Linked DNA regions of Canis lupus familiaris. The protein of the gene in region 1 interacts with the protein of each later gene in a biochemical or structural test. Links are inferred from orthologs where the notes say so. Each region holds a gene or a part of one and is shown on either strand. Other genes may lie near its edges.

Region 1 (4,230 bases):
TATAAGCATCAAATGAATTAACTAAACCTCTTCATTCAGCATCTAACACAAAGTCCTCCAAAACGTCATTAACTTTATTCTTATTTGACCTTCTGCAAGCCCGTATGATGTAAAATACTACAGAACTGTTAGTTATTTATTATTTTTCCTAAAGTATCATGGTAACGTGGAAAGATAGTTTCCAGCTTGAAGAGACATGAGTTCCAGGCAAATCTCTAACTTTATTTTTTTTTATAGGTGTTCAATTTGAAATCTCTAACTTTTTTTTTAAGATTTTATTTATTCATAGAGACACAGAGATAGAGGCAGAGACACAGGCAGAGGGAGAAGCAGGCTCCATGCAGGGAGCCGGATGTGGGACTCAATTCCGGGACTCTAGGATCACGCCCTGAGCCAAAGGCAGACGCTCAACCACTGAGCCACCCAGGCATCCCGAAATCTCTAAATTTTTATGAGCATCAATTTCCTTATCTATAAAGTTAAAGTAATAACAGATACCTTCCTTACACCTAGGGGTTTTTCGTCTCGCAGGAATGAAAAGACTCGATGCGCACGAAAGCCTCACTCTACAAGTACTCCCGGAGTCACACTGGGGATGCAGTATAGTTACGAGGATTCAACGGGATGCAATTTTAAAAGATGCCTCACCAATAGTAAGCAATGTTACTACAATGTCAGTGTTACCTATTATTACTTCCTGTACTTTTCCCACTACTTTCCTCTTGCTCCTCAAAAAAAAAGGAGTGGTTAAAATAGCCAGGGAGGGGGATCCCTGGGTGGCGCAGCGGTTTAGCGCCTGCCTTTGGCCCAGGGCGCGATCCTGGAGACCCAGGATCGAATCCCACGTCGGGCTCCCGGTGCATGGAGCTTGCTTCTCCCTCTGCCTGTGTCTCTGCCTCCCTCTTTCTCTCTGTGTGACTATCATAAATAAATAAAAAATTTTTAAAAAAAATAAAAATAAAAAAAAAAATAAAATAGCCAGGGGATCCCTGCTGCGAAACTTCTACTATTCTTGTCTTCTTCCTGTCTCTCATTTCCCTCCCTCCCTTTTTTCCTTCTCCAGGCCGCTCTTTCTCATTACAGCTTTCCTGCCGCCTCCAGCGCCCTGTGCAGCCCGATCTCCAGGTTTCAAGCAGCTTTGAACAGACACTTAACCACCCGGTACCTGCTGCAGACAAGGGGCTCCCTTCGCATTTACCATCTAGCGCTCGTCGGACAATAAAGTTTTATTGAAACAAAGCAGGAAAAAAAAAAGACGCCGTCCTTCTTCCTCAACAGCCAATCAGAGAGTAGAATGACTGGCGCTCGCCGGAGCTTCAGCCGTCGGAAGGCGGGGGAGGGGCCTGGCCTCGCCAGAGCGGAAGTACGAGCCGGAAGCCCGCCATAGAGTGTAGTGGCCAGAGCGACTCTGCGGGGAGGTGGCAGGAAAGGCTTGGAACAGCTGCCGGAGGTGACGGAGTGGCTGCCCCGCCCGGTGTGCTGGAAGACGAAGCTTCCAGGTAGCGGCCCGCAGAGTCTGACCCAGGGTACGACGGGGCAGTCGGCGTGAGCCCGCGGTCCCTGGGCGGCCTCTTTAAGGGAGGGGGCGGAGCCACGTGGAAGGATCGTGAGGGTGAGGTCACGTGGTTGGGGGTACTTGTGCGGCACCGTGGAAATTTGAGGGAGCGTTGTTGTTAGGGTGGACGCCATGTGACACCCCTTCCCCCACCGCATCCTATGCCTTGGGGTTCAGTGGGGTGCACGTGGTGGGCCTTGGGATCAGGCCCAGGGATGGGGGAGGGGGCCTGGCAACTCTGTCTCAGCCAGGCGTCCGTCAAAGTGGCCGGTTTTCGGATTTCTAGAACCGAGTTTTAGACAGCCCCATCTCTCGTTCTTCATTTGTAGATGTGACTCAGTGCCTCTGCAGTCCAGCCCCTGGCCCCTGTGCTTCCCGCCCTCCCAGGGTTCAGGGACTTCCAGCTTCACATTCTCTCTCCTTGCAGCTCCAGATATCCTGAGCCCAGGCCCTCCCAGCTCAGTGCAGCCATGAGTGCCGAGGTGAAGGTGACAGGGCAGAACCAGGAGCAATTTCTGCTCTTGGCCAAGTCGGCCAAGGGGGCAGCGCTGGCCACACTCATCCACCAGGTGCTGGAGGCTCCTGGTGTCTACGTGTTTGGGGAACTGCTGGATATGCCTAATGTTAGAGAGGTGGGTTCCTGGCCTAGAAGGCACACATGGAAGCTTGGGACTAAGTCTGAATTTGAGAATGGGTGGGCAGGGCTCATTTGCAACCGCATAACCATTCGGTTGAACAGGAATATGGTGATGATTAATTAGCAGCTGGCAAAATAAGTAGGCAAGTAAACCTCTCACTTTCCTTTGCTGATGAATCATCTGTAAAACCCACTGTTTTTCATTTTTAAGCCAAAGAGTGATTCAGAAAAGGAGACCTAATTCCATCCTGTCTCCTCCAATGTAGTACCTCTTAGTAAGATCATGTTGCCTTGATCAGGTCACTTTTACTTTAAGACCTCCGTTTAAAATTGAAACTGATACTGCCCCTCAGTGTCAATTATAGGAATCAGGTCAGATTATGGGAAGTGTAGAATCTGGTACAATTGGGAGGAATGAACATGAAATTGGCAGCCCCTCCTCTCCTCACTTTGTACCCTTTGTTCATTCACTTAAGTTAGATAAGTGCCTAGAAGTGTTAGAAGGTGGCTTTCTCCCCGAGACATGTGGCAAGATGCTAGGGACACAGCAGAGAGAACTGTTCACATAGAGTTAAGAGTTTAAAGTCTAGGGGGTGCTGGATCACCAAGATGTGTGACATCAGCTCAAGTCCTGAGGTGCTATGGCATTGATATGCAGGCAAACTGTGTTAGCTTTTTGAGAGCCAGTAATTGATGGAGTCAATGGATTTAGCCTTCAGGAGTCACTGGTATATGGAGAAAACTCTGGCTGCCTTCTTTCCCTACGCTTTCTTCTACAGTGGAACTAAAGAGGGTCCGTTAAGGTGAAAAAAACAAGCATTTGTTGAGTGCTTGTTTATCTCTGCGGGTCATCTGGGAATACCAGAAAAGTGTAAGACACAGTGCTTATTATCCTCCTAAAACTTATATTCCAGTTGCAGAGATAAGATGAATGGATATGGCCATGTAAATTACTCATTTAGCAAGTATTTTCTGAGAGCCAAATAGCTCTGCAGACCTGAATAGCTCTGCAGACCTAACTGGGTGGGATACCAGGGCCTGGAGCTGTTATCATATTGGAAAGAAAGATATTCTTCGGTAACAGCCTAAGGGTTTGATCGATTAAGTGCCAGAATGAGTGATCAGTGATTGGAGAGGAGATCTGAGTGGGCTGGCCTGGATGATGAAAGCCTCCTGGGTGCTGCAGGTCTGACGTAGAGGCCATGCAGCTCTCAGAGATGCATGAGGGTAACGCAGGAGTGTTTGGTGAATTGGGAGGTACGGCAGACTGCCTACTCAGATTCAGAAATATTAAACATGCTCTAAGGACCAAAATGCAGTTTACAATGTCTGAGTGCGTGTGTGTGTGTGTACATGCATGTGCGCTCACTACCAAACACTCTGAATGTGCTCAGTTCTGAATTTGGGGTAAGAATGAAGACGTACGGAGAAAGAGGGCATGGTGGATTGGGGGGAGTAGTGTAGACAAGGGCCTGGAGGTGGCAATGAGGCCTTCGTATAGGGAGAGCCATCAGAGAGGCAGAGAAGTCCGGGGGGGGTTGGGGGCTGGGAGAGCTGATGGGAGAAGGGAGAGATGGGGCCAGAAAGTGGAATTGAAAACAGAATGAGGCTAGGGAACTGGAGAGACGCCTGTCCTGTCACCTCTTCCTTTGTATTTTTGCAGCTAGCTGAGAGTGATTTCGCTTCCACATTCCGGCTACTCACTGTGTTCGCCTATGGGACATATGCTGATTACTTAGGTAACCAGAGGGTTAGAGCTCTGGAGTAGTGGTGGGAGAAGGGCAGTTTCTGGAAGGACTTCAAAGAAATTCCTGGGAAACCCTCCTGGGGTACACAGGGTCAGGGTCAAGACCTGAATTGACATGGAAGACTAAAAAAATTTTTTTAAGTAGAGGGTAGGAAGCTAGGGCTTCCCACGAAAGTGTAATCAAGATTTCCTCTGCTTTGTCCTTTTATCCCAGCTGAAGCCCGGAATCTTCCCCCACTCACAGAGGCTCAGAAGAATAAGCTTCGCCACCTATCAGTTGTCACCTTGGCT
Region 2 (4,481 bases), on another chromosome or scaffold:
TCCACCTGACAGGACGGGGTCACCTCAAGTGGCAGAGAGTTCCCAATCAGGCTGTCCTGCCGAGCAAGGCTGGAACCAAGGGCCTCCTTTCAAGATCCGAGTTGAGAAAGCCGTGTGGTGCCCAACAGAGAGGACAGAGCCACTGCAAGGGGTGCTGAGGGGCTGCTCCTCTTTTATTATCAACAGGAGGTTTCTCTAAAGGGAGTGTGATGCCCCTCCCCTGTGGGACCACTGTCCAACCTGTGCATCGTCCCTTCAAGTACCCTCTCAGAAGAAGAGCCCCCGCATCCGCCTGCCGATGCCTTGTCGGTCATAGAGGACGTTGAACTTGTTCACAAACTGGTTCATGGTGTTGCAGGTTTTGGTAATGGTGCCAAGGTAGGCCATGAGCCCCACGTCATTGCATTGCTGGAAGGAACAGAAAACCAGTTGCCCAGGGAATGTCTGAGTCCCGGGTCCTGCGTGCAGACATGATGTACAAACCCCACGTCCCCAGCCTGGGTTTTAGACTCACATCGTAAAAGTCTGTCTTGAACTTGTCTGTACTGAGCACAGGGAGGCAGTGACACAGAGCATAGGCCTCCCGCAGGATCTCATGGTTAAAGGGAACCTCTCCTAAAGGCACAGAAGGACTGCATTAATGTGGATGAGGTCACCCTCAGGAGTGAGAAAAAGTGGTAGGCGTGCCAGGGAGACGCCTGTCCTACCCGCTTCAGAGGCCTTGACATATTCCAAGATGAGCTTGACCCGGCTGTGCAGCATCTTAATGGCACTGTGTTGTGCTATCAGGTGTTCGGCCACTGGGGGGAGACAGGGAGAGGCCAAGGTTGAAAACGCACCTGGCCACGCTTTCCACCCCCCACTGCTGAGGAAACACCTCCAGTCTTCCTTACCTGTGGAGTTCTCGCCGCTGCCTGTGGCTGTCATTCGGGCCACGTGGTCGACGCCAATGCGTTCAGCTTCCTCTGTGGCCAGAGTGTAGGTCAGTTCCGCAAACAGCATCGTGGCCTACAGGGCACAAAAGCAGAGTCAGGAGCAGGAAAGGCCAAGGAGCAGGACCGCGGGGTTGAAAGGCAGGGCATTACCTCTCCATTGATTATATCGATGACAGACTCAAAAACACTGACGGGAAGCTGTAAAGCAACGGGAGACAGCTCTTACATCAAGTGCACCTGGGCTACCGTACTGGCTCTTCTGCAGATTTTCCCAATCTTCCCAAGGGCCCACTGAAGTAAGGCTAACCCCCACCTTATACATAGGGCAAAAAGCAGTTCTGAGATTAAATGATTAACCTAAAGTCACACAGCTGCTGAGCGGAGAATTCACCTCAAGTGAAGATTCAGCCCAACAGAGATGTAAAGCACAGCAGGGGAGGAGGGTAAGATTGTCATGCTTGTCCAGCACCGTGCCTAAGTGGGCATGGGGTCAGTATTACTCACATCTGTGTGCTTGGTCATAGGATTCAACTTAAGAAAGAGAGGGCTCTCGATGATCTCGCACACCTGGAAGGGAATGGGGATGTGGGTGTCAATGCCCATCTTTCCTCCCCTGCTCAAGCCCTGCCCCAGCATGCACCAGCATGCATGTGTACCTGCTTGTGGACGTGGATGTCAGAGGGGTCAGGCGGCCCCCCGGTGGTATACCAACCCAAAAACTCCAGCTCCTTGAACACCTGTTTGACTGCAGGGGAAAGAGCACAGGGTATCATTCTTTAAATCACCCTCCCTTCATTGGAAACTCCTGGTATATTTTTCATCAGCTTCTCCCCTCCCCGCTCAACTCCTGGCTCAGTTCTCAATAATTAGTCCCTTCTATCTTCTCTCATCTATTACTGTCTGGGGGGTGGGTACCTAAACTGTTCCTTTTCTGAGATCCTTTGTGATACTCTCCTCACACAAACACAGTTCTTGTCCCATTCTCCTATTTTTCCCCATCACTCTCCATCTTCCCCACTCTGCCTTTGTTTCTCACTCCCACTCCTCACCCCCGAGTCTATCCCCCTCTCACACTGCTCCTCCTTGGTGTAGTAATACTCCTTGTCAATGATAATCTTCTCCTCCACGGTGTGGGACAGCAGCTCAAAGGAGTTCATCACCTCGATATTTCTGCCCTCCTGCTTCCCGATCAGCGCCCCAATCACTGGGGGAGAGAGCGACACGGAAAACAGGAGGGTTAAGAATCCGGTCCCTGGGTCGAGGTCAGTGGGAACGCAATGCTGGAGACACGGTGACCTGGGGAGGGGGGACTGGCCTCAGGAAGGGCGGGGGCAAAGACCCCTACTTGGGGCAGGTGACCAAGGAGAGGAGGTTGGAGATTGACGCCCAGCACGCACCCTGCATAGGCCGCCCCTCCTGGGAGCGCATGCGAATCCAATGGTCTGAAATGTTGAGAATGACGAGGGGATGAAGAGCGACGGAGACGCTCCCCGTCACGCCGGAGGCCATCACGCTGGGGACTACTGAGGGTGGAGGAAAAGGAGGACGAGTGAGCGTCGGGGCCGCACGTTCTGCCCCGGAGCTGCGAGCGGGAGACGGCAGAGCCGGAGCCATACATCCCTCCCGCAAGTTAGTCCAGGGGGCGGGATCGCCGTCCCGACTGCTGACTCCTCCCGGGAGTCCAGGGGGGCCTTGTCGCTCCCCGGGGGGCGTCACCAGAGGCCGCCTCCGCGAGGCCCGTTACCTGCCGCATCCACCTCCATCCCGCTGCTCCCTCCAGTCCCGTTCGCCGCCGCCGCCATTTTCCCCGCGCCCGCCAGCCTCGGCCCCGCCCCCTCCCCGTCGGCTTCCGTAGGCCAGCGGCGCATGCTCAGTGGGCGCGGGGCCTCGGCGGGTGGGGCGGGCGGCCCCGGAGCGGGTGGACTTCGGAAGACCGGGTCCGCCACGCGCTTGCGGCGGTGACAGATCTGGGACAAATTACTTCACCCTGCGCGCTCCCAGCCTTACCGTCCTCGTCAGTAAAACTGGGATAAAACGGCCCAGTTCCTAAGACTGTTGCAGAATTAATGAAGAACCACGTTATTGCCCTCAGAACAAGATCCGCGCCCGGGCCATGGCGTGCAAGGCCCCGCAGGGTCAGGACCCTGCCTGCCACCCGGCCCTCGGTCCTCGTGCTTCAGCCGCGCCGGCTCCCCTGGCAGTTCCCTTCGTATGCCCCACGCCCACGTGCGGGCCTCTGCCGCGTCCAACCCGACAGCCAAGGACCTAAATAGGTATTTCACTGAGTGGATAATCTGAGGTGAAACCTGGTCGCGAATGGTTCACCGGCGTGTCCTTTCCTCCTTGCAAATACCGTATTACCTACATACTAGGAACGTGCCCAGCACTCCAGCCCTTCCCGGCCTCCCTCTATCCTCCATCTCCAGCAGCCTTTCAAAACTCGCTTGGGACAAACCCAGCCCACTCCGACCCCTCCCCACTCCTACGCCCAAGCACGTCGCTGTGCACTGCGTTTACTCCCCCTTGCTCCCCTACCCATTTGTCTAGCTGGTTCTTTCAGTGTATGCCTGTGCCACATCCAAAGTGAAAGCTCTCAGAAAGCAGGTGAAGACCTGTGCCTTGAGCCTGCAGAGCCCACTCCAGTGCCCGCAACCAGCAGGTACCAGGAAATGTGTTCCAGTTTCCTTCAGTTCCAGTGTTTTAGCAGCATCTTCAAATCTTTTTCTTTGTCCCTCTGTTTCTGTAGTCACATCGCCTTGTGCGATAAAACCCCTCCTTGCTTCTTTCTTATAAAGACACCTGGCATTATATACAGTGCCCACTGGGATAACCCAGGATAATCTCCCCATCTGAAGATCCTTAATCATAAATCCACGATAATCTCCCCATCCGAAGATTCATACTTCAATCAGATCTGCAAAATCTCTTTTTCCCTGTAAAGTAACATTCACAGGTTCCAAGGATTGGGACCTGGCTGTATTTGGGGGCCACTGTTCAGCCCGCCATAGCACACGCAGCCCACTGTGGGGGAGCTGGAGAGCAGCACCCTCAATCAAATGGTCATTGTCTTTATGATCCAGAATTATGTCAGTCCATGAAGAGAATCCTGGTGGCCGAAATAAAATTAAGTTGGAGTTTGCTAGGCTCCCTTTTGCCTGCAACCAGGATGGCCTGGGGTGGGTATGGGGTGGGGAGAGGGAGGACAGGGAGAAGTGTCATTCCAAGGAATGGTCAGGGCAAAATCTTTAATTTTCAGAACAAGTCTAGAAAGCCCTCCTTCCATCCTGATCAGTACCCTCTGGTCAAGACCAACCAGGAGGAGACAAACACATTCAGGGGACAGCCACATTTAGCAACCAGGATGCCTTACTAAGGTCCGTGGACCAAGAGGAAGTAAGAGAAGTAGGAATGATTTGGAGGACGTCGTTCCAGCCCTTGGCACTCAGATGCTGTGGATGGCAGGGAGCATAGAATGTCCATCTGACACCTTAACTACTGACCCATTGTTAGGTAGATTTTGTGAGAAAGAGTTTTGTGCACCCCAAT

What was found.
Region 2: the proteins of COPS7A (region 1) and COPS6 form a complex in vitro, tested with the Homo sapiens proteins (3 studies listed by BioGRID, with this or other methods). The link is inferred for Canis lupus familiaris from reciprocal best matches to the Homo sapiens genes COPS7A and COPS6.

What each region holds. Positions count from the first base shown.
Region 1 is NC_049248.1:7,780,765-7,784,994, forward strand, and holds the start of COPS7A (COP9 signalosome complex subunit 7a), read left to right. Parts: upstream 1-1,340; 5' UTR 1,341-1,499; exon of another isoform or gene 1,500-1,612; intron 1,613-1,982; 5' UTR 1,983-2,025; coding exon 2,026-2,187; intron 2,188-3,855; coding exon 3,856-3,931; intron 3,932-4,153; coding exon 4,154-4,230.
Region 2 is NC_049227.1:9,446,806-9,451,286, forward strand, and holds COPS6 (COP9 signalosome complex subunit 6), read right to left. Parts: upstream 2,829-4,481; 5' UTR 2,804-2,828; coding exon 2,680-2,803; intron 2,459-2,679; coding exon 2,333-2,458; intron 2,140-2,332; coding exon 2,008-2,139; intron 1,681-2,007; coding exon 1,592-1,680; intron 1,503-1,591; coding exon 1,440-1,502; intron 1,134-1,439; coding exon 1,086-1,133; intron 1,009-1,085; coding exon 894-1,008; intron 801-893; coding exon 708-800; intron 616-707; coding exon 515-615; intron 409-514; coding exon 268-408; 3' UTR 150-267; downstream 1-149. UniProt on the Homo sapiens protein: Component of the COP9 signalosome complex (CSN), a complex involved in various cellular and developmental processes.